4 linked regions of the Pelodiscus sinensis genome follow. The protein of the gene in region 3 interacts with the protein of the main gene of each other region in a pairwise test. Links are inferred from orthologs where the notes say so. Each region holds a gene or a part of one and is shown on either strand. Other genes may lie near its edges. The genes, in order: BOLL, RBM47, C25H1orf94 and MAPK1IP1L.

Evidence for each region.
Region 1: the proteins of C25H1orf94 (region 3) and BOLL interact in binary tests that used the Homo sapiens proteins (3 or more experiments, as listed by UniProt). The two-hybrid records come from large-scale screens. The link is inferred for Pelodiscus sinensis from reciprocal best matches to the Homo sapiens genes C1orf94 and BOLL.
Region 2: the proteins of C25H1orf94 (region 3) and RBM47 interact in binary tests that used the Homo sapiens proteins (3 or more experiments, as listed by UniProt). The two-hybrid records come from large-scale screens. The link is inferred for Pelodiscus sinensis from reciprocal best matches to the Homo sapiens genes C1orf94 and RBM47.
Region 4: the proteins of C25H1orf94 (region 3) and MAPK1IP1L interact in binary tests that used the Homo sapiens proteins (3 or more experiments, as listed by UniProt). The two-hybrid records come from large-scale screens. The link is inferred for Pelodiscus sinensis from reciprocal best matches to the Homo sapiens genes C1orf94 and MAPK1IP1L.

The regions. Positions count from the first base shown.
Region 1 is NC_134717.1:71,754,255-71,761,927, forward strand, and holds the start of BOLL (protein boule-like), read right to left. Parts: upstream 3,001-7,673; 5' UTR 2,855-3,000; intron 2,049-2,854; 5' UTR 1,953-2,048; coding exon 1,935-1,952; intron 1-1,934. UniProt on the Homo sapiens protein: Probable RNA-binding protein, which may be required during spermatogenesis. May act by binding to the 3'-UTR of mRNAs and regulating their translation.
Region 2 is NC_134715.1:92,180,964-92,188,438, reverse strand, and holds the start of RBM47 (RNA-binding protein 47), read right to left. Parts: upstream 3,015-7,475; 5' UTR 2,852-3,014; coding exon 2,809-2,851; intron 1-2,808. UniProt on the Homo sapiens protein: Single-stranded RNA-binding protein that functions in a variety of RNA processes, including alternative splicing, RNA stabilization, and RNA editing. Functions as an enzyme-substrate adapter for the cytidine deaminase APOBEC1.
Region 3 is NC_134735.1:5,911,877-5,919,168, forward strand, and holds the start of C25H1orf94 (uncharacterized protein C1orf94 homolog), read left to right. Parts: upstream 1-4,281; 5' UTR 4,282-4,333; coding exon 4,334-4,593; intron 4,594-7,292.
Region 4 is NC_134714.1:9,266,598-9,274,006, reverse strand, and holds the start of MAPK1IP1L (MAPK-interacting and spindle-stabilizing protein-like), read right to left. Parts: upstream 3,015-7,409; 5' UTR 2,859-3,014; intron 1-2,858.

The sequences.
Region 1 (7,673 bases), on a different chromosome or scaffold from region 3:
CAGCAGGGACACTGCAGGATGGGGTGCGCTCGGGACTGTAGTGGAGGCCACCCATGGTGATATTTTTAGTACCATGGTCTTGGCCCCCGCGTGTAGCCCTGGCTCCAGCTGGTGTCAAGAGGCACTTTCCAGCCAAGGCAGCCTCACCAAAATGGGCCTTGTGTGGCTGCTGCATGACTCCAGTTGGAGCTGGGCAGCTCACCGGGACTAGGACCCCGGCATGGGGTCCTGGGCTGTGGGGGCTGGACCACAGTATAAAAATAGCATCACAGCCCGGTTCCAGCCCCGCAAACTGCTTTCCATGTGGAAGGCAGAAGGTGAGGGAAGGGGGCAAGGGAAGGGGGCAAGAGAAGAACTAAGAGGGAGATGGGGGTGAGGAGAGGAAGGGGCTTGTGCTGAGAGAAAGCGGGCAGGGCAGAAGAAAGGGGCAGGCACTAAGAGGCAGGGTGGAGGAGAGACAAATGCCAGGGGGGCAAGAGGAGACAATGAGGAAAAAGACAGGAGGGGGAGTGGAAGGGAGGTGTTGGTGGGCTTGGGAGAGGGGAAGGGATAGGGTGATACTGGGAGAGGAAAAAGGAGGGACAATGGGGGCAAAAGGGAGGAAGAGGAGAGGGGAGGAGTGGGTGCCTGGAGAAGACAAGTTGAAAAGGAGGGGTGGGCACAAGGAAGGCAGGGGATAGAGCAAATCATGTGTGAGGGTGCAGAGGGGCATGAGGAGAACTGGGGCAAAGGATGGTGAGGGGTGGGCACCAAGGAGAAAGAGGGCAAGGGCAGTGAGGGAAGGGGGAGGCACCAGGAAGGTGCAGGGGTAAGGGAAGGAGCCAGGAGATTGTGGGGGTGAAGTAGAAGGGTGGACACATGGAGGGGGAGGAATGGGCATCAGAGTAGAGAGGCAGGGCAGGTGGGAAGAGGGAGATGTTAGGAGATGGGCTAGGGACGGGTAGCTACAGGTGACCAGTGGGGGGCTAGAAGAGGAGTGAACACGGGGGGGGGGGGGCAGGAGACGGGTAGGTCCCCAGAGGGCTGAGGGGAGTGAGACGGGCAGGCGCCAGGACAGCAGAGGAGAGTGAGGGGTGGGGGACAGTAGGCACCAGGGGAGAGCAGGAGACGTGACAGCAGAGGGAAAAGGGAGAGGACTGTAAGATATTTATTAATCTCTTGGGTGCCACAGTGGCACATCCGAACAAGTGCAGTGAACTCCGTACTAGCGCGCAAGACAACACGCTCCCTGCTCGTGGGAGGAAAATCTTAGAGGGACCATTTCCCCCCCCCTCCCCCCAGGCTAATGCCAAGCCAAGTGGGTTCATGCAATTGCAGGATAGTTGCATGGGGGGAGGAAAACAAGCAGCACTGGGGCTCCCCAGAGCCAGCAAGGGGAACGAGGCCTCGGGGAGCCCGGGGGGCTCTGGCAGCTCCTCACACCAGCTCCCCCCCCATTAAAATCCCGGGCGCCGCACAACGGCCCCGCCCTCTCGGCCAAAGCCAGGCAGCCACGCTGGCGACATGTGATGGGGGGAGGGGGCGAGGCCAAGGCGCGCGGCGGGGGGAGGGGAGCGAACGGCTCGCTCGAGCGGCGGGGAACAGCTCGCGCTGGGGGAGGGGCGAACGGCTCGCAGGAGCAGTAGGCGGGGCGGGGCCGCCCTGCCGGTTTTGGCGGGAAAGCCGCGCTCGGCCTAGGGAGCAGAGCGCCCCTCACACAGGCCTGGCTATCGAACGGGGCCGCCGCCCCTCGAGCTGCCCCTCAGCCCGCGCTCGCCAGACCCAGCGGGGATCACTCACAGCCCCTCGCGCGGGCCCTGAGGCGGCTTCCCCAGGAGCCACCCGACTCCTCCCTCAGGCTGGGTCGGTCCCAGGGAGAGTCGGAGTGGCCAGGCCTGTGGCCCCGCTTGTCCCCTCACTAGCCTGGCTACGCAGCCCCCCCCCCCCCTACTCACCGCGTTGTCGGGCTCCATCTCCCGCCTCACAGCGGCCTCAAAGTCCCCGCAGCACGTTCCCCGCACGCCGCTCCCTCCACACGCCGCGGCAGCTCCGAGCCCGAGGCGCTCTGGCTGTAAACCCACACACAGAGCCGAAGCAAGTCACCTCGGGGCGGGCGGGCCCGGGAAACGGAGCGTGGGGCAGAGGGGCTCGCCGGCCTGCCGAGCGCGCGGCTAGGGGGCGACACAGAGCGGGAGGGCGGGGGCGGAGATTGATGTTAGGGTTCGGCTCGGGGAGGCGGGGGGGAAAGAGAGGCGGGAGGTCACTTGTTTCTGCTCCCCCCGCCCGCCCCTCAGGGCTGCCTCGCGCTTCCTCCTCCCGAGGCTCCACGGGGCTACCGGACTCTATTGCCCACGTGGGTCCTTCGCCACGAAGCGCCGAAAGCAGCATGTCCTCAGGGCTCCCGCGCAGCTACTCCCCCACCAGCCCACAGAGCCCTCCTCCATGCTCTGCCCCAACATTGCTCCCCCAGCACTGCTATCCCTCACCTGCAGCCCGGGCCAATGCCGCCCTCAAGGGGTCCTCCTAGCCCCCCTGCTAATGCTTAGTCATCTTCTCTCTGCCCAGCTTCCACACAAGCACGCCCTCCCTTTCCCGTTGTACAGCACGCCTCTTGATCCCTTCCATTCAGTCCCACTGAAATCCTCCCTTCACTCCCCACCCCAGTAAAGGAGCTCAGTCACTGAGTTACAAGAGACCAATGTGTAGGGAAGTGGAGCTCCCCTCTCGCCACCACCCCTTGCACCTGCTGGTGCTGTCAGTCACTCAGAAAGCTTAGCTTGCTGCTCTGAGACAGGCATGCCCAACGCCTAAGCACCACACACAAACCCCTTTACAGACCCTACAAGCACAGGGAATGGGAGGGCTGCTTACTCACCTCCCCAGAGTGAGTTACTAAACCCTGGGGCACCACCAGTAGCTGCAGCTGGGTAGGGGTTGGTTTCTTATTTCCAGGCCTGGAGTAGCAGGAGAAGGCAGCACAAAGCTGCTGGCTGCTCCTCCATTCCCTGTGTGCTTCTGGGTTTCTGCACTCACACATTCCTTCTTCCCCTCCCCCTCAGTGAGTATCATCTCACCAGCAAACCCTCATTACACACACTCTCAAAAAACTGATTGCAGGCTGGCTGATACACAAACATATAAGAATAGTAGTAGGGAAGGGCGGTGTAACTATTGAAAATTACAGCTCCACGGGGATTCCTTATTGAAACAGCTAGTAAAGTCCCCACACAATCCTAATATATATCAAAGTCCTTTTCCATCCCCATTACCCAGGAGATATAACATACAAAAATCCTTTCAATTGCATTTTCCATTCATAAAGGGAGAAAGACTTAAACTGTAACACACATCACCGGAGGGGAGAGGGAGGGGGGACTGAAGTAAAATCCATCATTCCCAAATACTCACATGTAACTTGCTATTGATATAAGCAATATTGAATGCTGTAGCGTAGCCAGGGCTCAGGCACTTTGTTGTTATAAAGGAGTAGTAGTGACTTCAAGCTTGAGAAGCTTTTTGGTTTAGAACTGATTTTTCAAAGGGCTTCAACATGGAAACACATAGGCTGCATCTAGACTGGCATGATTTTGCGCAAATGCTTTTAACGGAAAAGTTTTTCCGTTAAAAGTATTTGCGCAAGAGATCGTCTATACTGGCATGTGCCTTTGTGCAAAAGATTTGCTTTTGCACAAAAGCATCCGTGCCAGTGTAGACGCTCTCTTGCACAAGAAAGCTCTGATGGCCATTTTAGCCATCGGGCTTTCTTGCGCAAGAAATTGACTTGGCTGTCTACACTGTCCCTCTTGCGCAAGTATACTTGCGCAAGAGGGCTTATCCCTGAGCGGGAGCGTCAGAGTAGTTGTGTAAGAACCACTGATTTTGTACAGTACAAAGTCAGTGTTCTTGCGCAAATACTTGCAGCCAGTGTAGACAGGCAGCAAGATTTTGCGCAAAAGCAGCCACTTTTGCGCAAAATCTTGCCACTCTAGACGTACCCATAGACAAATGGCCTTGCAAATTTGCTGAAGCATATCAATAGCTGGGTAGAATTAGTGATACAAATGTGGGTCCAAAGGTTTGGGAGATAGTCCCCACCAAATTACCAATTTTTAAACTTTTCCAACTCTTAAAATGCATTTTGCTCAGAGCTGAGGGGAAAAAACATATTTAAGATACACATGAAATGGCCATCCTCTGATCTCACCTAGTAAACATAATAAAAAACAAGCTGTACAATAAAATATTTCAAAAGCTATTAACCCTTAATTCTGGTGGCACACACAGGATTAGACTGACCTGCAGATGCTTTGCCAGGAGAGTGACTTGAATAAAACAATGGTATAAATCTGAGGTCACACACAGCTCATCTAGACTACGCAAAACAGTCAAAAGAGGATATGCAAATTCTACGGGAATTTGTATATCTTCTGATCGCACTTTCGAAAGCAAAAGTAGTTTAGCAAACCCTCCTCCCCTTTGTCAAAAAGCTGCGTAAACCATTTTTTGAGGAAGAGTTTCTTTTTGACAAAGGGGGAGGTTCGCCGAAAAAGTCGCATCTAAACTACTTTCACTTTCGATAGCTCTGCTTTTGAAAATGCAATCAGAAGAAGATATGCAAATTCCCACAATTTGCATATCCTCTTCCGACTGTTCTGCATCATCTAGATGAGCCCTTAGTCAAAGGGTTTACAACTGTGGTTTTCAAACTATGGGTCGAAACTGGGTTATGGAATGCCAGGTACTGGATCTCATTGCTGCAGAGGAATGTGGTGACCAATGGGAGTGCTAAGCAGGCTACCTAGCTGTCCCAGCATCACAGACTGCGCAGCAGGCTTGGCTCCTAGGTGGGGGGTGGAAAGCACACAGGGTTCGTTGCTTCTGCCCCAAGCACTAACTCCACATTCCTATTGGCTGGGAACCTGCTGCTGGCTGCTTCTGGGGTGCAGCATGGTCTGTGGTTCCAGGAGAAGCAGGAAGCCCGACTTAGCACCTATGCTGCACCACTGATCACGTGCTATTCAAAGTAAGCCCCTCTTGCCCCAGCCCTGAACCTCCCCAAAGCCAGAACCTCTTTTTACACCCCAAAGCTATCATCATCAGACCCATCCCAGAGTCCCCACTCCAGTCAAATAATGCTGGGTCACGGGCATCAACACTTTTCTTCAACTAGATAATGAGGAAAAAATGTTTAAAAACCACTAGTTTACAAGATACACTCCCATCAAATTAGCTGATGGTTCTGCACAAAGCTGCTGAGAGTAAGAATTGGAATGCAGAATGAGCGGGCTGGAAACCCATGTCAGTTTTAAGGATATTTTAACACAACAGTTGAGAATCCCAAAAAATTTTCAAAGAATTTTCTCTCCTCTCTTTTTGGCAATGGCCTGTCTTTCAATCTCCTCCTTCTTTCGAATGCCCGAGCTATCATTATGACTAGCCAGTAGCTCTTAGAAATTGACCAAAAAGGCTATTCAATCCAATTTCAGTAGCTACCAACTCTGTATCCTCCTCTGGTTGTGTACGGAGAAACTCTTTGCTTCCACTGAGTGACAAAAGTGTTGCTGGAACGTCATGCCAAAGTGTTCTATTCCCTCCCCCATTACTTCCTCATATGGAAGAAGAAAGATAAATGGAAGTTGATTTTAGGTCTCAGGAGTTTTAACAAGATCACCTGTTCTATAATATCTTTCATAGATCCCATTCATAAGTTCCCTGCTTTTGACTTGCTGGATGCTTACCTTCATGAGGCAATTCATTCAGCTCACAGAAAGTTTCTAAGTTTTATAGACAACATTTTTCATTACTAGTTCAGAGTTCTACCATTTGGATTGCCAACAGTTCTGTGGGTATTTATCAAATGCCTGCCGGTAGTAGTGATTCGCTGAAGGAGACAAGGCCATCAAACATGAGTACCTCTACCTCAATGATTGGCTGATCTGGGGTCTCTCATATGACTCAGTTAATGGGGATAGTCATACATTCTTCTGACCTCAGTCTACCTTAGCCCAATATTTTGCTCGGTGTAGTCTCCTACCTAGTAGCTACGTTTACTCAACAGACAATTGAAAGAAATAGAAGTTTTCTTGATTTTAATCGTCAGTGCTTAGCAGAGGCTGTCGACTCACTGGTTTTGATGGCAGAGTTCTACAATACAAGATGCATTTAGCATCCAAACTTTCTGGTTGTGACCACACTTGCAAGCCATGATTTATAATTCAAATATATCCTGTCATGTGAGAGATTAGATTTAAAAATATGGAGTTCAAAACCTGGTCTACACTGGATTGTAATGGCACAACTGCACCCTCACTGGCCATTTAAGGCTAAAACCCAGTCCTGAAAGAGGGCTGAGAGCAAAGCCCACAGCTGAGGGTGATATTGCCAATTACAGCCCAGCTGTGGGTTGTATAATTAAGGGCTCCAGGAGGGCACAAGAGAGGCCAGCCAGCAAAGCTGGGGGTAGCTTCCTGAGACAGAGCAGTGCTGGGAAAAAGTGGCTAGAGTTGGGGAGCCCTAGTCTGATCTCACTCCCAAGTTGACGGGCCTGAGGTCTGCAGGGGGGTAGCCAGGATAGGAAGAGGCAGCAAGTCCACATTCCCTTGCCAATAATGAGTGGCCATTGCAGACTGCAGTTTACACCTGTGGCAGAGGCTAGCTGAAGACTACCAGTGGGTCAGAGGCAAGGTGAGTACTGGGAAATTATGGGTTCCCTGGGAAGGGAGGATGATAGAGACTGATAAACACCCCCTGGAAGGGGACAAAGGGACACTAGAGTGGGCATTGCCAGAGGGCAGTGTCCTAAAGGGGATGCTGTGGTCTGGGAGTGACAGTGTCTGGAATGGAGAGCATGGTGTTAGGACATGAGGAGATTCTAGCCCAAGGGAAGCACCTTGCAGGCTAATAAGCTAATTCCCAGGGCTACTGGCAGGAGGTGCCGTGGCGGTGAGTCTGCCCCATGACATGGAAATTTATATGGGTTTAACTGTTTGGTCAAGGATGTGAAAAATTCATAACTCTGAACAGGTTAGTTAAGATGACCTAGATCCTCATGTAGGCAGGACTAGGTCAACAGAAGAACTCTTCTGTTGACCTAGCTACTGCTTCTATGGGAGGTAGATTGCCCATGCTGATGGATGAATCCCTCTTGCCAGTGTAGGTAGAGTTACAGCAGTGCAATGCCACTGTAGCACTTCAATGGTAGACATACACTGGGGCTATGTCTACACTGGCGTGATCTTGTGCCAGAAATATGCAAGTGAGGCTAAGCATGGAATATTGCTGAGACTCATTTGCATATCTGAGCCACCATTTTTGTGGAAGAGGCTTTTGCGCCAGAAGGAGCATCTACGCTGCCACTTCTTGCTCAAGAAAACCCCTCTTGTGCAATGCCGTTATTCCTGAAAATAATCAGGGTAGCGGCATTGCACAAGAGGGGCTTTCTTGCGCAAGAAGGGGCAGTGTAGGTATTCCTTCTGGCGCAAGAGCCTCTTCTGCAAAAATGGTGGTTCATTAGATATGCAAATGAGGCTCAATGATATTCCACACTTAGCCTCATTTGCATATTTCTGGTACGAGATTGTGTAAGTGTAGACATAGCTTGGGCGTAATGATCAATAAAACATGGCTATGGACTACTAGAACTAACATCCTACAAAGCCTCATTGGCCTACTCCTAATCCCATTCAGAAGCCCAA
Region 2 (7,475 bases), on a different chromosome or scaffold from region 3:
ATACTGAGAAGATGTGCCTGATCTTGGCAGGAGCTAGGTGTACCCAGAACCATGTTATTTTAAAAACAACCACCACACACACAACAAAAAAGAAATATTAATTTAAGTCTCTCACTGGGAAAGATAATGAGCAGTGTCCTTACTACAAGTCTATAGCATGCACTGGTCAATTTTAGAAACATGAAAACTGAAAATGATAGGCCAGATGCAGAACACAATTCCAAGTGACCCACGTATAGTTAGAGCACGGAGTGTTCACATTATGGCTTTTGCTGTAGGTTCACCTCTAATACTGAGATGTAAATGTCCTGCAAGAGAACTTATCTTCATACATAACTATGTGGACTGGCAGATGTATTTCTTCACCAAGGGCCAAATCCTTCTCCTTGATCCCATAGAAATCAATAGTAAAACTTCCACTGTCTTCAGTAGAAACAGAATTTGGCCCTTAAATCTCTGCCAGTGTTTGTCAGTAGTAATGCAGATACTTTCTTAGTATACTTCTTAGCAATTTGGATCATTCTTAATTTGAGAACTCAGTCATGGGAACTCAGGGGAAAATAGAATTTCATAAAATGGAGATGACATTATACATCCAGATGAGTGTAATATGACAACTACCTGAGTCCAGGAAGATACCTACTTCTTATTCCAAACCAATATTAGTATGAATGGTTGTTGAGAATAGCATTAATAGTGTTCAAACTAAGTAGTAAAGCGTATACATTTTGTTAATATTTACACTGACAGCCAGCTCAAACTAGACCCCAACATCTGCTTCCCGTTTTTTTCTAGGCTGATTTTCATGTTAACAGAGAGAGCACATCAGACATTTAAAAGTCCTAATGAGCACAATCATACGAATTTCCCTGATATCAGACACTCATACTGCTTTCATAGACAGCATTCTATCATATGACACTGACTGAATCAGTATAATACAACTTCTGTACAATGTGTAGAATAGCAAATTACAACACCAAACAATGGAGATGTGGATGGCCATTGATCCTGCCATTATCTCCATGCAGCAGGACTCCTGCCCCTATGAAAAGTCTTATAGTAATCAGCAGAGCTCCATGAATGGGATCCTACCAGGATCAGGTCCTTAGACCAAATTTCTCTTGGAACAATATTCCCATAAACATTTGCCATCTTGGCTCCTTAAAATAAGTATTTTTATCCAAAAGTGTTAATTGTTTAGTTTGCTAATTATAGCACATACCACTAATGTTTGTTAATTATTAATTTTTCATACTGGACTGGAAAATTAAGGTACAGATTCTATTAGGAGCTATATTTACATGACAATTATGTTTTAAAAATATCATAGTTCCAAAGCTACTCTGCCCTGTTGTGTGTGTTTGATAGCCCATGACACATGTTAGAAAAGAGGGCCCAATTCTCATCTAGCAGATAGATTGTATCTCAAGAATGGCTATATTGAAGGCAATGAAGTTATTTCACTGGGTAAAACATGAGTGAAAGAAGAATCTGGCCCAGTGACAGGATATAAAAGAGTGAGAGAAACTGAGAATACAAGCAAAATGTTTTCCCTTAATTTATTTTTCAGACTCTAATGTTATTTTGACTGTATAATTTGATTTTTAGCCTTGATAGTAATTTAAACATGAATCTGTTAGGAAAAATAAGATAACACCAGAAATATACTGCTATTTGGAGTTTATCTTTCTCAAGAGTGCATATTGCTTTCCATTTTCCAATTTTATACCAGGCTCTGCTTAATACCACAAGTAACCTTTCACCTTTATGATCTGACACCTGCAGTACTTGGAGATGTTTAGTATATAATGTTGCAGATCCCTCTGGCAATAGTCCTAAAGTACAACTGCTTGCTCCGCAGTTGTTGTAACAGCCTGATGTATGTTTTCTTTTCTCCCCCTTACAATCATATGAACTCAGCATTAGACTTGTAAAGAATATATTGCAAGATTGTCCAAGTTACTATTACACAAAACTGTGGCTCATAAAGACGCCATTATTAGTTTCAAACTAGCCTCTGGGGCCATATTCTGCTCTGTGACCTCAGCTGGGTGGCAGACTTCAAAAACTAATCTTTTGGTTTGCTACATCCAACTTTTAATATCTGTGACTTTTGCCCCAATCTTTATTTTAAAGCCAAAATGGGAAATGAACTGTATAATTTTAACTTGTAAAACAAACTGTTTCTTTTTATGTGCATAATGAGACATGCCCCAACAATTTTCATCTAACAGCATATAAATATAACTAAAAGGCAAAGAAAGGTGGAATCTACCCGTATTTTATTTTGAAATAATCATTACTAGAAAAGTTCTGTTCTCTTCATTTTAATTGTTTCTAATCAGAGATCCCAAACAGGTATCCTGTTAATTTGTCATCCATCAAAATTATGTCACTGCTACCTGTTGTGAACAGACTCTGATTTTAAACCAACCCTTCCTTCCCCCCCCCCCCATATTTACTTCAACACTATTTAACATGTCAGCTGAAAAGATATTGGCTAAACTTCTGAAATAGCATATATACCGGAGATCACTTTTCAGTCCTCTCTTATTTGATATCTCTCTTTTCCTCTCTAATCTTATAAGTTTTTAAAGAATCTAGTCCATTGTTCAATCACTTTAAAGGAATTGTCAAAGCTTACCTCAAATTGTGGTTTTGTTTCTGTTTTTCACTGACATTATTTTAAACACTTTAAAAAAACCACAACCTTATGTCCCACCATGCTCTTAAAACAATCACAAGAGACTAGACCCTGCAGCAAGGTCACAGGGATAGCATAGTGATCACAAAAAAATTACGTACCTGTATGGTGTTTCTGAAGACAGTTTCTACACTTAAGCACCATTCACAGAGAAGAAAGCGTTTCTGGGCAGCAATCTAATGCATCTTCTTACTTTTTCTAATGTTCTGCTAATTGAGCAGTGTTGAGCAACTCCCTACAAAGCTGTTTAACCCCTTTGTTTCACACTCTGCCGTTCAGAATTGCTGAACACTGAAATACTTCTAGCAAGTCTCTCTGAAAGTAATACCAGCTAAGCTAAAACCCTTGATTCTCACTGACCTAAGCTGCACATTCCAATCTATTAACAGGAGTGCTAATCAGAAATCACTCTTTTAGACTAAATTCCGGACTAGACATAAAGCATGAAAGTTAAGCTGAGATACTGCTTTACCAGGACTCAGTTTTTGCCGACTGGTTTGGTAAAGTCTGCGATGTCTCAGGACTCAGGAGCACTCAGTAAAATTGTGACTGAGAGGAAAATGTTAAGTGTCTCATCTCTGTGTTCTTTTTTCCTCCCCCCTCTCTTGTTCTCGCTGCTCACAGTAGCAAGGTTGTTTCTTGTATACTCCCTGCCCTTAAACTCACCAAACCAGATTTTTACTCCCAACACCAGCAACTTCCCGTAAATCTGAACTGAAATTTTATCCTCTTCACTGAGCCTTTGCTGGCTCAAGGCCAGTGCAGCATTCCTGTTGTTTTAGGAGAGCAGATACCTTTGTTTTTTTAAGGGGGGGAAGAGAATGGATAACCTGAAGAGATGTAAAGGCTGACGTCAGAGAGACACTTGGAAACAATTTAAGAATTGCTTGACACGCCATTTTTAATATAAATAAATAAATATGGAGTTCCAATGTGAACACCCAGAGAGGGAATGTATCGTCACTAAAACAGAGCCACTATTTGCTGAACCACCTGCTTGATCTCTACATACAGTGGTTTAGAAACAAGATGCTAAATCTTGAATATCTTCTAACCCCGCCCCCCTTTAAGCAACGTAGGTTTTCAATAGAGAGATGAAGATTTAAAGGGAAAACAAATTAATAGCACTCACCTGAGGCATAGCATGGCTTGAATTAGTACAGGAAGGTATTGCACTAGGAGAAACCCACAAGCCTTTCTGATCCAAGTTTCATCAATAAGTGGTTGTGCTTGTTAAATAAGTGCCTCATGTCACCCCCTTCTGACCTGCAGTTACATCTGGTTTCTAGAAAAGGAACAAAAGAGAAACTAGTTTTAGAAATAACAGCCAAGCCCTCTTTTAACCTCCCTGTGATCTCTCTGAGAATTGTATTTTAACCCTAAAAAGAAACAGCAATGCCAGAGAGTAAACTTTTCCTCTCCACCTCTTTTACTCTACCTGCCTGTGCAAGGGTTAAGTAGCCTGATGTATTTAAACAAAGCACAAAACCTGTTTATAGTAAATGCAATCAGCCAACAGAAAGATAATTCAGTACTTGTGACTAAACAAACTGGAACAGGAAGCACACATCATCAAAAAATTTTTAAAAAGTACTAATTCCTGCTTGCATTGTCATGCAACTGAAAAATGTTTCTACTTCTCTTTAGACTGAGTCTTTTATTCAATGGCAGTTCAGTTTGTGTGAAAAGTTTAATACTCCTGTTGTTTAATCATTTACATGCAAACATTTGACAGAACAATGTTTGCTTTTTGTACAGATTACTATGGAACCTTTGCATTATTTTTCTTGTTTTGGGGAAGGAATGTTTCTGTAGCTAAGTTTTATTTTCGAATTATTTTTGTAATTTATGAGAGTTTGCCTATACTTTGCCCTATAATTCTTTCACACAACATGAATTCAAACAGGAGAATAATGAAGGGTCATAAAAATTTAAAAAATTAAGGTATATAGTATCGAGAGTTAAAGCTACTGTTGACAATATTCTGCAACCATATTTGTAAGTGATCATAAAATGCTGCTAGCTGTATCACCTGGGAAGATACTAAACCTGCATTGTTTTGCACGTTCTGTCCTGTACAACTAAATTTCTCTGTTAATTTTTATGTAAGCAAAAGCTACAGTGACTCCTACTGAGTTTTGCTTGAATAAGAACTTCAGGATCAGGCCCATATTATTGAATCTCTCTAGTCCAGAACTCTCTGGTCTTGAAACATCCATGGTCCGGAATGATTTTAGTGAGGTGTATGTCCACTTTTCATGGGTGTGGCCACGTTTCCTGCTGTCCCATAAAGTTTGTTTACAGCCACTTGTCCTAGCTCTCAATGTTCTGTGTTGTTATTTAGCAATAATTTATCCCTATATGTCCTCTAACAGCCCAGTAAGCTGTGGAAATGATGATAATGCTGCTAGACAATATTGACCTCCCATAACCCAGAAAATTCTCTGGTTTGGAACCGGACAAGTCCTAAGGGTGCCTGATTAGAGAGGTTCAACCTGCATAATAATACCAAAGAATCACATACTGAAGCCATGTCTACATTAGTATTTATGTTGACAAAACTTTTGTAACTCAGGGGTGTGAAAAAATCAACTCTAAGCTACATAAGCACTTGCCAGCATAAGCACTTGTGTGCACAAGCTATGTGGTGGAGACTCTCTCCTGCAGACACAGCTACCATTACTCCTTCCACTAGTTTTTATTCTGTCTACAGTTGAGCTCTCTCCCATTGGCACAACATGGCTACATATGCACCTTTAAAACGGCATTGGGTAGATGTAGACATGGCCTAAAATTTGAAGTCTTGAAATGAGCGGCTAATGAATGAATGTTATGCACTTACTCAGTGCATAGTTTCAATGTTCCTAATTTTTGTATAATCAAAACCACCTCCTCCCAATCAGGGTATGTCTAGACTACATGACTGCGTCGACGGAGCCATGTAGATGAGTTTACTAGACATAGGAAAAGGAAGTGGCGATTTAAATAATCACTGCTTCATTTACATCAAAATGGCCACCACGCTGTGCTGATCAGCTGTTTGGCGGCACAGCGGGGCAATCTGGATGCACCGCGGTCGACAAAGGAAGCCTTTGTCGACCACTCTGGTATGACTCATGAAATAAGGTTTACCAGAGCAGTCAACAAAGGCTTCCCTTGTCAACCACAGCGCTTCCAGACTGCCCCGCTGTGCCACCAAACAGCTGATCGGCACAGCGTGGCAGCCATTTTGATGTAAATGAAACGGCGATTATTTAAATCACCGCTTCATTTTCTTATGTCTAGTAAACTCATCTACATGGCTCCGTCGACGGAGCCATGTAGTCTAGATATATCCTCTATGAAAGACACCATCCCACTAAGAAGTCTACAGTCATGTCAAATGCTAGGTTTAAACTTCAGCTGCTTTTTTGCTGTAGCACTGCTCAAATAGACTAGTGATAGAATGTTTGTACAGGAGAAGTGTATTTTTCCCACTGCATCAAAACTCAGAAAGGAATAAATGGAATACAAATTTGGAAGATTTTTGACCCCAGAGATGCTGAACATTTTTGAAAGTCATAAGTAGTATTGAGAAAATAATGGGAGAAAAAAATTGTTCAGAAGCATTTATTTCAATTAAAGTGTGCTTGTTAGTCAACTGTACTTACAACCATTCCTCAAAAATATTTGAGCAGCTAATTGCTGCTAGAATAACCTTGCAAATTTTGAAGAATTTGCAAGTGTATATTCACAAATGTGACACTAGGTGGGTGAAGGCTACATCCAGAAATTCTAGCTCTTTATTTGGCATCTGTAGAAGAGTCAGATGATGATAAAGCCCCTATTTATGATCAAATATTGAATTTGTAAAGATATAACAGAAAACAATTTATCTGAGACCTTAATGCCCAACCTGAATCAGTCTCTTTTTTTCTCCCTATATGTTCTATTTGTCCAACTTACACGGATGTTTAGTAAATCTGATGGTGAGAAGCTCTTTAAGGGCAAAGCAAAAAGTGATCCAGTGCTGGAATGTAAACGAGATGTGCTGTAATTTGCTGCAACACCCATCACTCTGTCGGGTTAAATGAGTCAAGTGCATTCAGAACTCTCTAGTAGTGAGCACAGGTTTCCTGTTCTCTTGCCAAGCCATGGTAGGGTTTCTAACTAAAAGAAAAGAATTTAATGAGTTCACAGCAAAGTGAATTAAGTTAAGTGCAGCATGATTAGACTATGATCGCTAATCTTAAAAGAAAAAGCACTTGATTGAGGACGATGCCCTTCAAAGCTGATTGTGCCAATTGTAACTGAAAATTCTGGCTAGATACATGCTATCTCTCAACAGTTATCGGACATCCTTCTGAAATATCATAGAATCGCAGGAATGTAGAGCTTGGAAGAAACCTCAAAGTTATCATGTCCAGCCCCCTCTGCTGAGGCAGGACCAAGGAAACCTAGAGACCATTTTTGATAGTGGTTGTCCAACCTGTTCTTAAAAACATCCAATGATGGGGATTCCATGACCTCCCTTGAAAGCCTATTTCTGTGCTTAATGAGCCTTAAAGTTAGAAAAATGTTCCTAATAGCTAACTTAAATCTCCTGTGTTGCAGATTAAGCCTATTACCTCTTATCCTATCTTCAGTGGGCATGGAGAACAATTGATCGCAGTCCCCTTTCTAACAGCCCTGAACATGTTTGAAGACTATTATCAGATTCCCCCCCCCCCCCAGCCTTTTCTCAAGATTAAAAATGCCCCTTTTTTAACCTTCCCTCATACATCAGGTT
Region 3 (7,292 bases):
CATCCCCATCAATTGCTTTCCAAAAAAAGCACCTGGCAGCACGCTGAGTTGAAAGGTCTCCCTCTCTTTTACCAGGTGTGCCCAGCTCTGGGGACAGGCCTGCCTAGGACAGCCAAGTTGGCAGAAACTTGCAGGGTTCTTTGAAAGTGCATGTGTGTCTGTTCTAGTGCAGGCTGCTGTTAACCTCCACTAGCCACTGATCAACTTGCCTGATTACCTCCACACTAAGCTGGACAGGGGATTTTTGCCTTTCTAAGCAGCCAACAGCAGCCAGGAATGTTTGATCTACACTGCCACCCACAGTCAAAGCTCAGGCTCAGAACTGGCCAGATTCTGACACCTACGGATTAAACCTCTCTCGTCCGGCACCCTGGGGACCTGACAACTGCTGAACCAGAGAATTTGCCCAACTGGAGGGGGGAGGGGGGAGGGGGGTCAATAGTATCTAGCAGCTTTACCAACACTTCCCCTGCTGCCTGGGCTCTTAGAAGACTGTTAGGGATAAATTGGAGCTAAATCACAGCACAGAACACCAAGAGCCAGGACTGGTGGCTGTAAACAAACTTTATGGCAGGAAACTTGACCATACCCATGATAAGCAGGGATATAAAATCCTGATTAATCAGTTAACTGCTTAAATGTTGGGTTAACCTAACGTTTAACCCGTTAACTGACTGAAGCGGGATCTGAGCTGGAGCAGTGCCCAGCCCACAGGATTCCCAACCCCCAATCCCACCCTGGGGCTGACTGCTGCCAGTCCTCAGCCCCTTCCCCGCCACTGGCCCCCAGTTCTCAGCTCCCATCAGAACAGCCCCTACCTTTGGGGCACCCGGGCTCCCTGTAGACAGAGGCTGCTCTGGACGAGAGCAGCCTCTGTTCATGGTGGGCTGCTCCAGCCCGCATTCGTTACCAGTTAATCGGAACCAGTTAGTGCCACCAATTTAAGGTGATGCTGACCGGTTCACTGGTTAAACTTTCACATCCCTAATGACAAGTGCCGGCTAACTAAAGTCATGCCGGACCATGGATGTTGCCAGACCAGAGAGTGCCGGACTAGAGAGGTTCAGCCTGTATTATATCCTATCTATCATTTCCCCGACCAGAGCCAAAGCAATATAAATCACTGCAAGCCTTCCACCCCCAAAGAACACAATCAAACATAATATTTCTGAATGTCTGGGAGCCAAGGGTCATAGAAACATAGAACCATAGAACTGGAAGAGACCTCAGAAGGTCATCAAGTCCAGCCCCCTACTCTAGGCAGGACCAACTCCAAGTAAATCAACCAGGCCAGGGCTTTGTCAAGCCAAGACTTAAACACCTCTAGGGATGGAGACTCCACTACTTCCCTAGGTAACCCATTCCAGTGCTTCACCACCCTCCTAGGGAAATAGTTTTTCCTAATATCCAACCTGGATCTCTTCCACCACAACTTGAGACCATTGCTCCTTGTTCTGCCATCTGTCACTTGGCATGATTTACACCTATTAGGTCTTGTCTTCACATGCAGTGATGAAGCTGAAACGCTGTAGCCCATTAATGAAGATGCTACTATACCAGCAGAAGAGCTTCTGCCAGCATGGTAGTTAATCCACCTCCCCGAGCTCTGGTCTACACTAGGACCTTAGTCCAAAATCCCCAGACCCGTCCCCCATTCAAATAAGTAAGCAATGCTTCCACACTACCAAGGCTGTTATTCTGGAATACGGGGCCATGGAATTTGAACTCTGTACTCCTGCTTTTCATGAGGAATAATGCTATTCCCAAACTTGTACGTCCGAAATAACATTAGTGTAGACACTTCAGTGCCGCTAATTTGAACTTACTTGCCTCTGGGAGGCCTCCCACAGCTCCCCAGAGTACTTCCTGGGCTCTGAGTCCGAGGTAGTACGTCCATATTCATGGAGCCTGCCTCGGACTAATTTTGATGCTTTCCTGTAGTGAGGATACGCAAGGTCAACGTTGTTTAATCGGCAGTTCTTAAGTCAAATTTAGTAATTTCGAAAGAATTTCCTAGTGTGGACATGGCCTGAGAGGTGGTAGCTATGTCGATGGGAGACATGACCCTATCTACACTGGGTGTTAGAGGGTATAACTACATCGCTTAGTGGTATGGCTTTTTCATACCCCTGAGCAATGTAGTTATACCAATATAAGTCCATAGCATAGAACTGGCCTTAGTCCAGGTGTGGGCAATAAGATGGCAGCAGTTCATCAGGGTTAGCCACTGGCAGGCTGCTGCTGCTATATTTACCTGTGCCACCATAGATATGGGTGCTTGCAGCTCATCTATGGGATGCTGCAGGAAGTAGCACCATCTGGGACACCACTTCCTGCAGCTCCCATTGGCCAGGAATGGCGATCCGCGGCCAATAGGAACTGCAAGCACCCATACCTGCAGAGATGCAGGTAAATACAGTAGCGGCAGCCCACCAGGGGCTAACCCTGGCAAACTGGATCCGGCTCACGTGCTGGTATTTGCCTGCTGCTGGCTTAGTTAGTTCTCACAGTGATTTCCTGGTAGTAAGAAGCATGAACTCCATTTTACAGATTGGGAAACAGAGAGACAGGAAGGAGAAAGAACTTGCCCGGGGCACAAAGGGGATTAGTGCCAAATCTGAGAACATCACATAGGAATTCTGACATTAAGTCTCCCTTTAACTACTAAATGACATTCCATACATAGTCAGAGGTGGTTAGGAGTCTTAATTCATCTGGGCTGGTGAATCTTAAGAGTGTTTTTCCCAAACAAAAAGCAGCACAATCAACAAGTCTCCCTAGGGATATGAACAGACTTAGGATGAATAAAATAAATCCCAACATCTACTTTGTTGACCAACCACAGCTGCTGTGGGTGAAAAGAGCAGCAATTAGATGTCCATGCAGTATTAGCCAAGAGGCTTGTACATAGAATAATCTCTCTGATTATACAGACTACTGTCACCGTGACTTTTTAGATGCATGATAGACAAGTCCACTTTTTACTCTAAGCTAACGGGAGATGCACAGAGCTAAGATTTCAGAGAAAGGTGCAACAGCTGCAGTAACAAAACAAAAAAATCTATGCACAAGTGTTGCCCCTGCAGATGGGCAAAGGCTCTTGTACATGTAAAAATTTCACTTTTACCTGCCCGTGTTCTTTTGTTTTGCACAGACACATGGTGCACATGGAACCATAGCAGCCAAATGAATTTCTGCAGGTATAACCAGTGCATCTGAAGTCTGGGCTGGCTGCCTTCTTCTCATTCACATTCCACAGCCCTCCCCAACAGAAATGTGGTTTAACTGTCGCTGATAAGCCTGTCCTCAGGTTCAACATAGTTTCATAATTCTCTCACCTCCTGGCCTTAAATATCAGCCAGAACAGGACTTGGGAGCTTCCGCTGAAAAAGCTCATGGCCCTCTTCTGCAGAAGCAATACGATTCTTCATGAGCTGTGTCACTATTAAGAATCCGTTCTTCTGTCAGGATCCAGGTGCTCCAAACTGCAGTACAGAAATAACTGTACTGGGTGGCATTCCCAAGGCGGGGCTGGCAAAAGACGGAGGTGTACGTGTTGTACCAGAGCATGCTACCTAGTCCAGTATCCTGCATCAGCAGCCGATGTCCAATGCTTCAGAGGGACCATTAAGAACAAAATAGTGTCCTGAACAAAATCCTCAATCTAGACCCCCCTCCAAACTTTGGCAAGTTCTGAAAGTTGGTTCCTTGAGCCCATCTGCAGAACAAATGGAGACTTAGCTAGCTATGCTCATGCTTCTTAGTTTAGAGACACAGAAGTAAACCAGACAAGACAGCCAGAGCCCCTGGCTCTCAGACCCACACCAGAGTAAATCCTGCGGTCTCTGCTTCAGTTTATTTCTGTGAGAAGGATCAGGAGGGGACCTGATATGAGATAAGAGAAAGGACTCGGAGCAGAGGAGAACTCACCTCCTTTTTCAGTGGAGACAACGTGGGTGTAACCCTCTCATTGTCACAGGATACATTAAATACAAAGAACAGAGGAAGGAAAGAGGAGGGTGGAGTTAATACGTGGACCTGAGAATATATGGAGTTGGGGCAGGGTGGCGACCCCATGGACACCGGTCCTAGAGGCTGCCCTCTGCCTTACTTGGAGGATCTCACACATGGCTCCCTCTTCCCCATCTTCCTTTCAGTGCTGCTGGAATCCCTACCACTGTTTCCGGTTGTTGTCCTTCGTACCAGTTGCCAGGACCCAGGGATTCTATGGTTACCAAGTTACCATGGCTTGTTGCTTTTCATTCCATTCTGTACCCACAACGCCCCTTTCAAAAAGTTGTCTTTTGGTGCCTGGGTGGGAAAAGACTGAAAGATGCTCACAGGCGGGAGTGAGCTCCCGGGTCCGACAATCAGCTCCAAAAGCCCCTTTCCTTTAGGACCTTTCCCCAGGCACATCTGGATCCACCACAACACCCCTCAGGACAGCCTGGACAAAGCCTGCCACGAGATCTGGAAACGGGTACAAGGTCTGCCTGAAGAGCTCCAGTCAACGTCACCAGTCCTGCAGCCTCCCTGTCACCCAGTCTTGCCATCAGACCTCCTCAGAGGAGAGGGCAGCCGCTACCTGAAAGAGTGAGTGTTCTCCAACTATGTCAGAAAGAAGATCACTGATCAACTCCATGTGGAAACATTCACTTTCCAACACCCTTTCTGCCCTACAGTAGCTTTGGGACTCTATGTACAACCAGAGTAGGAAATCTCTCAAACTAGTTGAGATGAAACACTGTGTTTATTTTCACAGCATCAAGCCAGAGGGCAAAATTATTTCCTTTCCCTCCACACATTCATTTTCCTATGCAAAACGCCCCGTGATGCCTCGCCACATCTGTAATTCCCAAGCACAGTAAGCAGCTGCCGCATTCAGTTTCCCCACAGCAGTTTTTTTTAAATCAAAATATTTACAGTAAGAAGCAAAAGATGCTTTCAAAAAGCAAAGCAGAAAATTAAAATGTTATACTATAAACAGCTGATCTTTACAAAGGAGAGCTCAATTTGGCAGAGAAGGAAGGGAGGGGAGGAAGCACAGTTTTCAAATTTAAGAGGGACGTATTTATAGTAGTCTCCTGAAGCGGGACTGGGGGTGAGGGAGTCAAATTTGTAAACCCAGCAATTAATTAACAAAGGTTGGCAACTGTCCTAGTCTGAAAGTAAAAATGCAATAACACCATTCACAGTTTCACAGACAGGGCCCAGCCTGCTGAGATACAGTAAATAAGTAACGTTAGAAGCTCAAAGTGCTTTATAAAAGGTGAATTAGTATAATTTCCCCTTGAAAGCGAGACTGAAGGAAAGGAAATTAACAAAGGCCACACAGCCCAGGAATAGAACCCAGGCATCCAGGACTCAAACCCAGTGTCCCATCCTCACTAAGGCCATGTCTACAGTAGGCAACTATTTTGAAATTAATTAATTTGATTTAACTCTCAATTTAACAAAATTGAACTAGCATGGCCACACTATGGAAAAGCCTCAAAATTAGCGCAAGGCAGGTTTCATTAATGTGGACGTGCTACCTTGGACTTAGAGCCCCAAGAAGCAATGGGGAGTAATTAGTTTGAATTACTCTGCGGAGTAGTTATTTCGAAATACCAACACTGATGCGTCCACACTACCATTATTTTGAAAAAACTATTTTGGAATTAGCATTACTCCTGATGAAAAGCAGGAGTCCAGATTTTGAATTCTGCAGCCCGTTATTCCGAAATAACGAGCTTGGTAGTGTGGATGCTCTGCTTATAAATTTGACTTTGGAGGGGTTATTTTGAAATAAAGTCCTAGTGTAGACCAGGGCTAAATGTACTTAAATCTTGAAGGAAGACTCTTGAGGCTCGTTTATCCTCTTGTGACTGCGTAAACCGGGAGTAACTCCACCAAAGTAACTCCTGGTGCATAGCTGGAGTAACTGAAAGGAGAATGCAGGCCCAAGTGTCTTTATGAACCAGATGTTCATCACATCTGTTCATGCACTCATGAGAGGGGCTCAAATGTTATGGGGAGAAGGGAAGCACCACAGCCAGCGTGGAACAGCATCAAACTACTACTAACAATCTGAACTTTAATTCCTCCCCTATGTTAGGGTACGTCTAGACTACAGGCTTTGTCGACAGATACTATCGACAAAGCCTCTTTCGACAAAGAGTGTCTGGACTACAGCCAGCTCTGTCGACAAAGCAAGCCGCTTTTTCAACAGAGAGTCCCGACGCTCTCTTTTGAAAAAGCACAGCGTGGATGCAATAGCGCCTTTTGTCCACAGAACCCTGTCAACAAAAGGCGTTACTCCTTGTAGAATGAGGTTTACTGCCGTCAGCAAAACTGCTGCGTCTGTCGACTTACTGTCAACAGAACTCGGCGGTAGTGTAGACGCAGGTATAGTTTTGTCGACAAAAGTCCACCTTTGTCGAAAAAACCCTGTAGTCTAGACACACCCTTAGTGACGCAGACCCGTAAAGCTCCATGGAGTGGGGTGGGGTTTTTTTGGTTTTGTTAGCATTGAATTTAGTGGGTTCTTCAAGGGCAGCCAACCTAGCATAATTCCTTGCCACTGGGCCATGTAACTGCCCTGAAACTATCATAATTGGGGAGATCATCCTCTTCTCTCGCCCCTTTGTCTTGTTCGGTGAAACTGTCCACAAGAGCACCAGAGCTGTGATGGGGACGCCTGAACCCACAGAAACTGGACTGAGACCCATCAAACTCATTTCCCATGCAATGAGAGAGGCCGTGGGGTCCAGTGGACAGGGCACACTAAGCTTAGGACTCAGGAGAGCTGGGTTCTACTGACACTTCTACCACTGAGCTGAGGGGTGGGCTGTGGGCAAAAGTCTTCTCCCATACCCTCCAGGTGTTGGTTTTGTCTGCTGAGGGTAGGAGCTGTCTCTTGCCCTGTATCATACGGGGTCTTGATCTTGGTGCATGTACAAGTAATAACTGAACTGCCTTCAGGTAGGTTTTGGCTCCTGTTGACCAAATGCCAAGACCTGCTTTGCTCTCCTCACATGAATAAACCTCTTTGGAGTCACCACTGCTTCTCAACTGGGAGGCTGAGCAGGTGCAAACCCAGACCACAGTTTGGACACAGATCCTGGAGGTATCAGTGTCCTTATACAACTCTCAGGCAATCCAGTCGCTGGGAAGAGATTTTGTAAACCCCTGACCATCTATGCTGACAGCCCGCAAAGGCACACGAATCACCTGATTCGTCATCTGCAACAACACACGGGGCCAAGACGACTCGCAGTGACCTTGCTTGATTTCGCAAGCTTTTAATTATT
Region 4 (7,409 bases), on a different chromosome or scaffold from region 3:
AATAGAAGAACTAGAGGACACCAAATGAAATTAATGGGTAGCAGGTTTAAAACTAATAAAAGAAAGTTCTTCTTCACACAGAGTGTAGTCAACCTGTGGAACTCCTTGCCAGAGGAGGCTGTGAAGGCTAGGACTATAATAGAGTTTAAAGAGAAGCTGGATAAATTCATGAAGGTTAGGTCCATAAAAGGCTGTTAGCCAGGGGATAAAATGGTGTCGTTGGCCTCTGTTTGTCAGAGGCTGGAGAGGGATGGCAGGAGAAATCGCTTGATCATTGTCTTTGGTCTACCCTCTCTGGGGCACCTGGTGTTGGCCACTGTCGGTAGACAGGATACTGGGCTAGATGGACCTTTGGTCTGACCCAGTACGGCCGTTCTTATGTTCTTAGTGTAAACAAAAAAGACCATGTAAGGAACATGTGCATTAGAAAAACTTAACACACCCATAAATAAAAAGATGGAGATACAGGCTTAGATGGTTTTTAGCAACGTAAAGCACAGTAATGATAACTCTATGGTTAAAAGTCCAACAGATAAAGAGTGAAGGAAAAGAGACCAGGCCAAAAAAGAAATGGTGGGGCATCATAAACAGACATGTTAGCATGTGGTGTGACAGAGGATTATGGTATCAGAGATCTGGAGGAAGATTTTAAGTACCAGCCCCATATGATGGGATTAACACATGGAAGATAACAGTGTATACAGAAATAACCTCCATATGCCATCTCACTATCCCTTTATTTATACATGGAAGGATTAGCCCTTTTTGCCACACCACTGCACTGGGAGCTCATACACAAGTGCTTGTCCACTGTGACCCCTTAATCCTTTTTGAAGTCACTGGTTTCCAGACTTCAGTTCCTCCCCTTCCCCCCATTCTATAAGTATGGCCTACATTCCTTATTCCTACATATGCATCTATATGCAGAGTTCTACTGAAACCCTCCCTTTTTTTTTTTAAACAAGCCCAAGCTGCCAAGTGACTCAAATCACATTGTAGGCGTTCTCTATCTTCATTATTTACCACTCTATCAATCTGCAAATTTTACCAGTGACACATCCAGATCACTGATAGAAATGATGCAGTGCCAGGCCCAAACCCAGCAAAACCCACTCATCTATGATGAAGAACCCTCACTGACAAATTTAACTGGTTAATTCATACTTCAGACGATTTCACGTGTAGATAATATCATGCAATGTTTATTCTAAAATCAGAACGTCAGGGTATACGAAGTCAAACAGGTTATAAAAGTATTACATCTCATGGGATCAGCACTAAAGTCACACTGGAAGGAAACAGTGATAGAAATGTAGCTGTGTTAGTCTGGTGTAGCTGAAACAATACAGGACTATGTAGCACTTTAAAGACTAACAAGATGGTTTATTAGATGATGAGCTTTCGTGGGCCCGACCCACTTCCTCAGATCAATTTGTGGAAGAAAATTGGCACAACCATATATACCAAAGTGATACAATCAAAAAAAAAGTGAACACATATAAAATTGACAAATCAGATTTTAGAACGGCGTGGGAGAGGATGAGGGGGGAAGGTTAGTGTCTGTGAAATAATGATATTAGGGGGTGATAATTGGGGAAGCTATCTTTGTAATGGGTGATAGAAATGTAGCCGTGTTAGTCTGGGGTAGTTGAAGCAAAATGCAGGATGATGTAGCACTTTAAAGACTAACAAGATGGTTTATTAGATGATGAGCTTTCGTGGGCCAGACCCACTTCCTCAGATCAAAAAGCTGAGGAAGTGGGTCTGGCCCACGAAAGCTCATCATCTAATAAACCATCTTGTTAGTCTTTAAAGTGCTACATCGTCCTGCATTTTGTAATGGGTGAGATAATTAGCATCTTTGTTAAGGCCCATACTAAAGTGTCAAATGTAAGCATGAATGACAGTGCTTCATAGCCCAGTCTTTTGTTCCTGTAATTGGAGTTTTTTATGAACAGATTAAAAAGACATCTGTCAGGGATGGTCTTGGTGTATTCAGTCCCCATCTTGTTAGTCTTTAAAGTGCTACCTAGTCCTGTCTTTTGGAAGGAAACAGACTTGCCAAAGGCTTTCTTCAAGGTGTCCTTGCGCCCAATTTAACACACATTTAAACGAACATTTTGAGCGCAAAGGCCAAAATGCTCTTTTTCCCGGACAAAAACCTCCGGATTGTGGTGCTATTACTCCATCCCCAGCGCAACACATTTCGGACGGGGCCTATTTGCTTTTCTCACGGGGTGTCAGACCCCAGCACCGACTAGGAGCAATGCTATTTTTAGGAGCGGCTACTAGGCAACAGATCCACGGGCTCCCTCCCGAAGTGGCCCCTGAGGTCATGCAGCGGCGCTGCCGCACTCGCCGAATCCCTTTGTGCCGTGTTGCGGGAGAGGGGCCCACAGCCGCGCGCCCGGGCCCCACGACGAGCAGCGGGCGTGGGGCTGCGGGACACGATGGCCGCGCGCGCGGGCACCTGCTTTTTTTTTTTTTTTTTTTTTTTAAACAGCCGCGTGAGTGGGACAAACGGCCCCGGGGGAGAGGCCGGGCCCGGCCCCGCGGCGAGAGGCGCCCAGGGAGGGCGTGACGCGAGTCCACCCCTGCGGGGCCACCCGCTGCGTTACCGACCCGGGCCCACGTCACTGCGGCGCCGGACCCCGCCTCCCGGGCACGACCCGCCGGAGGGACCCCGAGGCGCCACCCCAGCCTCAGCCCCTCACAGAGGCCGCCGCTAGGACGGGGGAGGACCAGCCCCGGGGTCGCCACTTACCCCCCCCCGGCCCTCAGCCCGCTGGGCGGCTCCAGGCCTCTCCCGGCGGAAGCCCCCCCAGGCGCGCTCGGCGCGGGCCCAGCCACCTCCCTACCTGCGGGGGGGAGGCGCTCGGCGCACACAGAGGGCAGCAGGGAGGGAGCCGGCCCGGCAGCAGCAGCGCGACCCAGGCTGGCACGCGGAAGCGGAAGCGCGCCTCCGCCCTCCCGCACAGGAAGGTCAACGCCGGCAGGCCCCGCCCCTTCCCGACAAAAGGCGCTCACGGGCCCCGCCCCCTTGGCCCGAGAGGCGGGCCCAGATTTCCCGCCGCGAGAATGGCTCACGTGACGCCTTCCCGCCTCCTGCCGTTGGTGCCGGTGCGAGCGCGAGCGGGCGCCGCAGCGGCCCCTAGTGGAACGCGGGGGGAAGTGCTGCTGGGAGGGGCGGGGCTCTGCAGGGCCAGGCAGGAGGCCAGAGAGTCCCAGGCTGGGGCCAGCAGGACGTGGCTCCCCACACGTGACATGGAAAGCCCTTGCCACAAGCCCAGACACACATACAATTGCAACAAAAGGGTCTGAGCCCCTGTGGGGTTCCCACCCCCCCCCACAGCTTGTGCCCCAGAAGTGGGTTGTGCCCAGGAAAGCTCATGATTCCATCGACACGTTTAAACTTAACTTACATAGACTAGTAGCACCAAAGACTAACACACCTGTGATGCTTCGGGGGTAGCTGAGTTAATCTGTACAGAATAAACTTAAAAAACAAGTGGTCTGGGGTGCTACCAGTTCATTCCTTGTTTTTTAAGACTAATACGGCTACCCCTCTGAACCAAATAAATCGGTTAGTCTACAAGGTGCCACAGGCTTCCTCCTTGTTTATCTGCTTTCAAGAGTTTGCCCGTTTATTCAGGAAATCCTTCTTAAACAGCGAGAGTTCGGACCACCGCATTCGGCATGCAGCTTCTTTTTAGCATGGCTTAAAGCAGCCTGAGGATTTGGTGGTGCCAGAAACGAGACCAAAAGCACCAAATCAAGCACCGTCCTCAAAACTGAGCCAATGCTGAAAGAGAGTGAACCAAGATGAGCCAGAAACATAGCATGAGGCTGCAGTAGGATTGCTTCTTAATTAGGGATGTAAAATCTGGGTTAAACAGTTAAGTGTTACGTTTAACTGGTTAACCACTTAACTGGGACCCAGGGGCACCGGTAAGCATCAGCTGATAAGAGTGATTCTTACCAGTTAATTGGCTAATTGGTTACATCCTGTTCTCAATAAACTTTATAGGAAAGAGATGAAATGGAGAAATTTAAAGTAGTGCTCTATTTTGGCACACCCAAATCAATGCTTAAGATTTGAAAACAAGAAGACAATATTATTAGAAACCAAATAGACTATAGCCCTTTGTTGTGAAAACATAGCAAATGATAAGCATTTGTAGGGATGAAGAAACAAAATATATTTGATAGAATTGCTAAATTACAAATGCCAGGTAAATCTGTTAGAGTGAAATCAGTCAGATGACTGATGCACATATAATGGGAAAAAGCCGATGAACCTGCAACAGCCAAGGAAGGAAAACACACAACCCAAGCGCCAAGTAACCAGAAATAGAACATTCTGATTTAACCCCCCAAATGCTGGGGATTTGGGTAGTGAAAGAAAAATACAATTGAGGTGGAAGTTAGTGGCTTGAAGAAAATGTGAATAATTTAGTCAAAAATATTGTTTTCATATAATGCATCATTTTTTAGTGAAACGGTGTGTTTTATTTAAAAATTTATCAGAAAAATGTCAAGGATCAATATAAATAGATAAGATCACATTATCCTCCAGCCAAAGACCTTACTCTTTTACAAAGGGGGTAAGTGTCATTTAGAGATGCAAACTGCTGTTTAAAAAGTTAACCGGTTAATCCAGGGGTGGGCAATAATTTTTGATGGGAGGCCACTCCAAGATTTTGGAAAGTGGTTGTGGGCTGCACTCTTCCATGATATTAATGGAGAAGGTGCCGGGTCTGGGATGGAGGTTGAGTGCAGAAGGGAGTTTGGAGTAAGGGATTAGGGTGCAGGAGAGAGAGTGGAGTCTGGGAGGGAATTTGGGTGGAGGAGGCAGTTATGACCTAGGGCAGGAGTCTGGGGTGCTGGAGTTTGGGTTGTGACCTAGAGTAGAAGGGGATTATGATCTGGGACAGGGGATTGGAGTGCCAGATATGGGAGGGAGTATGGGTGCAGGAGGGGGCAGAGGATTTGGGTATGTTGAGTGGGGGGGGGGGGAGGGCAGAAGGTTGGGAAAGGGAGGGACTGGGGTGCCAGAGACAGGCTCTGGCCAGGAGACTTACCAGCCAGAAGCCCTCCCAGCATGCCTGCCTGCAGAGCTAAATGCTTGCAGAGCTTAAAACATTTCTCAGCCAGCCAGCCAGCCTGCCTGCCCCATGCCTTCACAGGCTGCAGGGCCATGTGCTTGTGTGAATAACTGAGCCGGAGGGGAAGGGGGTATGGTGCTTCATGTGCTGCCTGTTATTCAAATAGGCAGCTCCCATTGGCCAGTTTCTGGCCAGAAACCGGCCAATGGGACTGTACTGGGGGCGGGGGCAGCGCCCGAAGCCTTCCCCCCTCTCCTCCAGGATCACAGTTTTGAAAGAGAAACAGTCCTGCAGCCGTTTTTCTGAGTGGTGTGCGGAGCTGCGGGGCAAGCAGGGGAACCTGCCTGGGGCTTCCTGCTGAGTCCGCAGGTTGGATCCAGTGGCTTGGCAGGCTGGATTCAGCCTGCGGGCTGTATTTTGCCCAGGCCTAGGTTAAACACTATGTTTAACCAATTAACCGTGGCATAGACCCTGCCTGCAGCACGATGGGGGGGGGGGAGGGGCCCAGCTAGGCACAGGGGGCTACTTGTCTAAGGAAGTGGGTTTTGCTCACGAAAGCTCATGATATATATATAAAAGGTGCTACAGGACTATCGTTTTTTTAAAGTTACAGACTAACACAGCTACCCCTCTGAGGTTATCCCTTTACATTCCTACTGTCATTATCCATCTAGGGCTCATGAAGCTCAATCTATGTATCTTAACAAGGAAGACGATTAATGTATTACTTGGTTACAGTCTATAAGTACCTACATGGGGATTAAATATTTAATAATGGGCTCTTCAGTCTAGCAGAGCAAGGGATAGCATGAGCCATGATTGGCAGTTGAAGCTAGACTGGCAGTTGAAGCTAGTTGAACTTCTGACTGGAAATAAGGTGTAAATTTTTAACAGATTAATTAACCACTGTAACAATTTACCAAGGGTCATGGTGGATTCTCCATCATAGACAATTTTTCAGTGAAGATTGGGTGTTTTTGAAAAAGATCAGCTCTAGGAATTATTTTGAAGAAGTTCTTTTGCTTGATAATACGGGCAGTCCGGCTAGATGATTAGGATGGGCCATTTTGGGCATGGAATTTATTAATCTGATTACGTGTGCCATATATTGTAGCTGGAACTATGCTATTCACATAGCTCTTGCTATCTTAATGAGCGTAAATCCAGACATGTGCTATTCAAAATTATATCACAATGTTGGAGATACATTTAGGTAGGAGGACATTCTCCTGCCCATCCCTCCAATCTGTAGTACTGGTTCTGCAAACATTTTTGTATCTGAGTAATTCAGTGATATGTACTCACGTGATATGTACACACACGTCTGAAGAACTGGGCCCCTCGTTCTATGAATTTTACAGTTGTCATAAATATGCCTCTCACCATTTTCCAAGGTCCTGCTCTCCTCTGAAATCACTAGCAAAAGGTCAAGTATCAGAGGGGTAGCCGTGTTAGTCTGGATCTGCAAAAGCGACAAGGAGTCCTGTAGTACCTTAGGGTATGTCTACACTACAAAGTTAATTCGAACTAACAGCAGTTAGTTTGAATTAACTTTCATAGCGTCTATACATGCAAACCGCTAGTTCAAATTTAATTCGAACTAGCGGAGCGCTTAATTTGAACTAGGTAAATCTCATTCTACGAGGACTAACGCCTAGTTCAAATTAAATAGTTCGAATTAAGGGCTGTGTAGCCACTTAATTCGAACTAGTTGGAGGCTAGCCCTTCCCAGCTTGCCCTGGTGGCCACTCTTCTGCCCCCGTCCCATCCCTGAAGCCTTTAAGGGGGCCCGGTCTGGCAATGGTGCTCGTGCCAGTTGCAAGCCTGCCAGCACCCAGCCAGCAGACCCTTCACCTGGCACAGCACGAGCCAGCCACCCGCTGCCACCCAGCCCTCCGCCTCTTCCCAGGACCAGGCTGGCGGCTCCCAGGAGCCTGCCCGGGGCCGCAAGTGGTGGATGTTTGCCTGGTCTAGTGCAGAGATTGTGGACCTCATCCAGGTTTGGGGGGAGGCCTCCAATGTCAATGATCTCCGCACTAGGCACAGGAATGCGGCCGTCTAGGGCAGGATAGCTGCGAGCCTGGCCACCAAAGGCCACACGCGAACCCAGGAGCATGTTTGCATGAAAATCAAGTTGGTCCAGTGAGACCCCCGACCCTGAGCCCTGAGCCTAGAACATAAGAACATAAGAATGGCCGTACTGGGTCAGACCAAAGGTCCATCTAGCCCAGTAGCCTGTCTGCCAACAGCGGCCGACACCAGGTACCCCGGAGGGGATGGACTGAAGACAATGACCAAGCGATT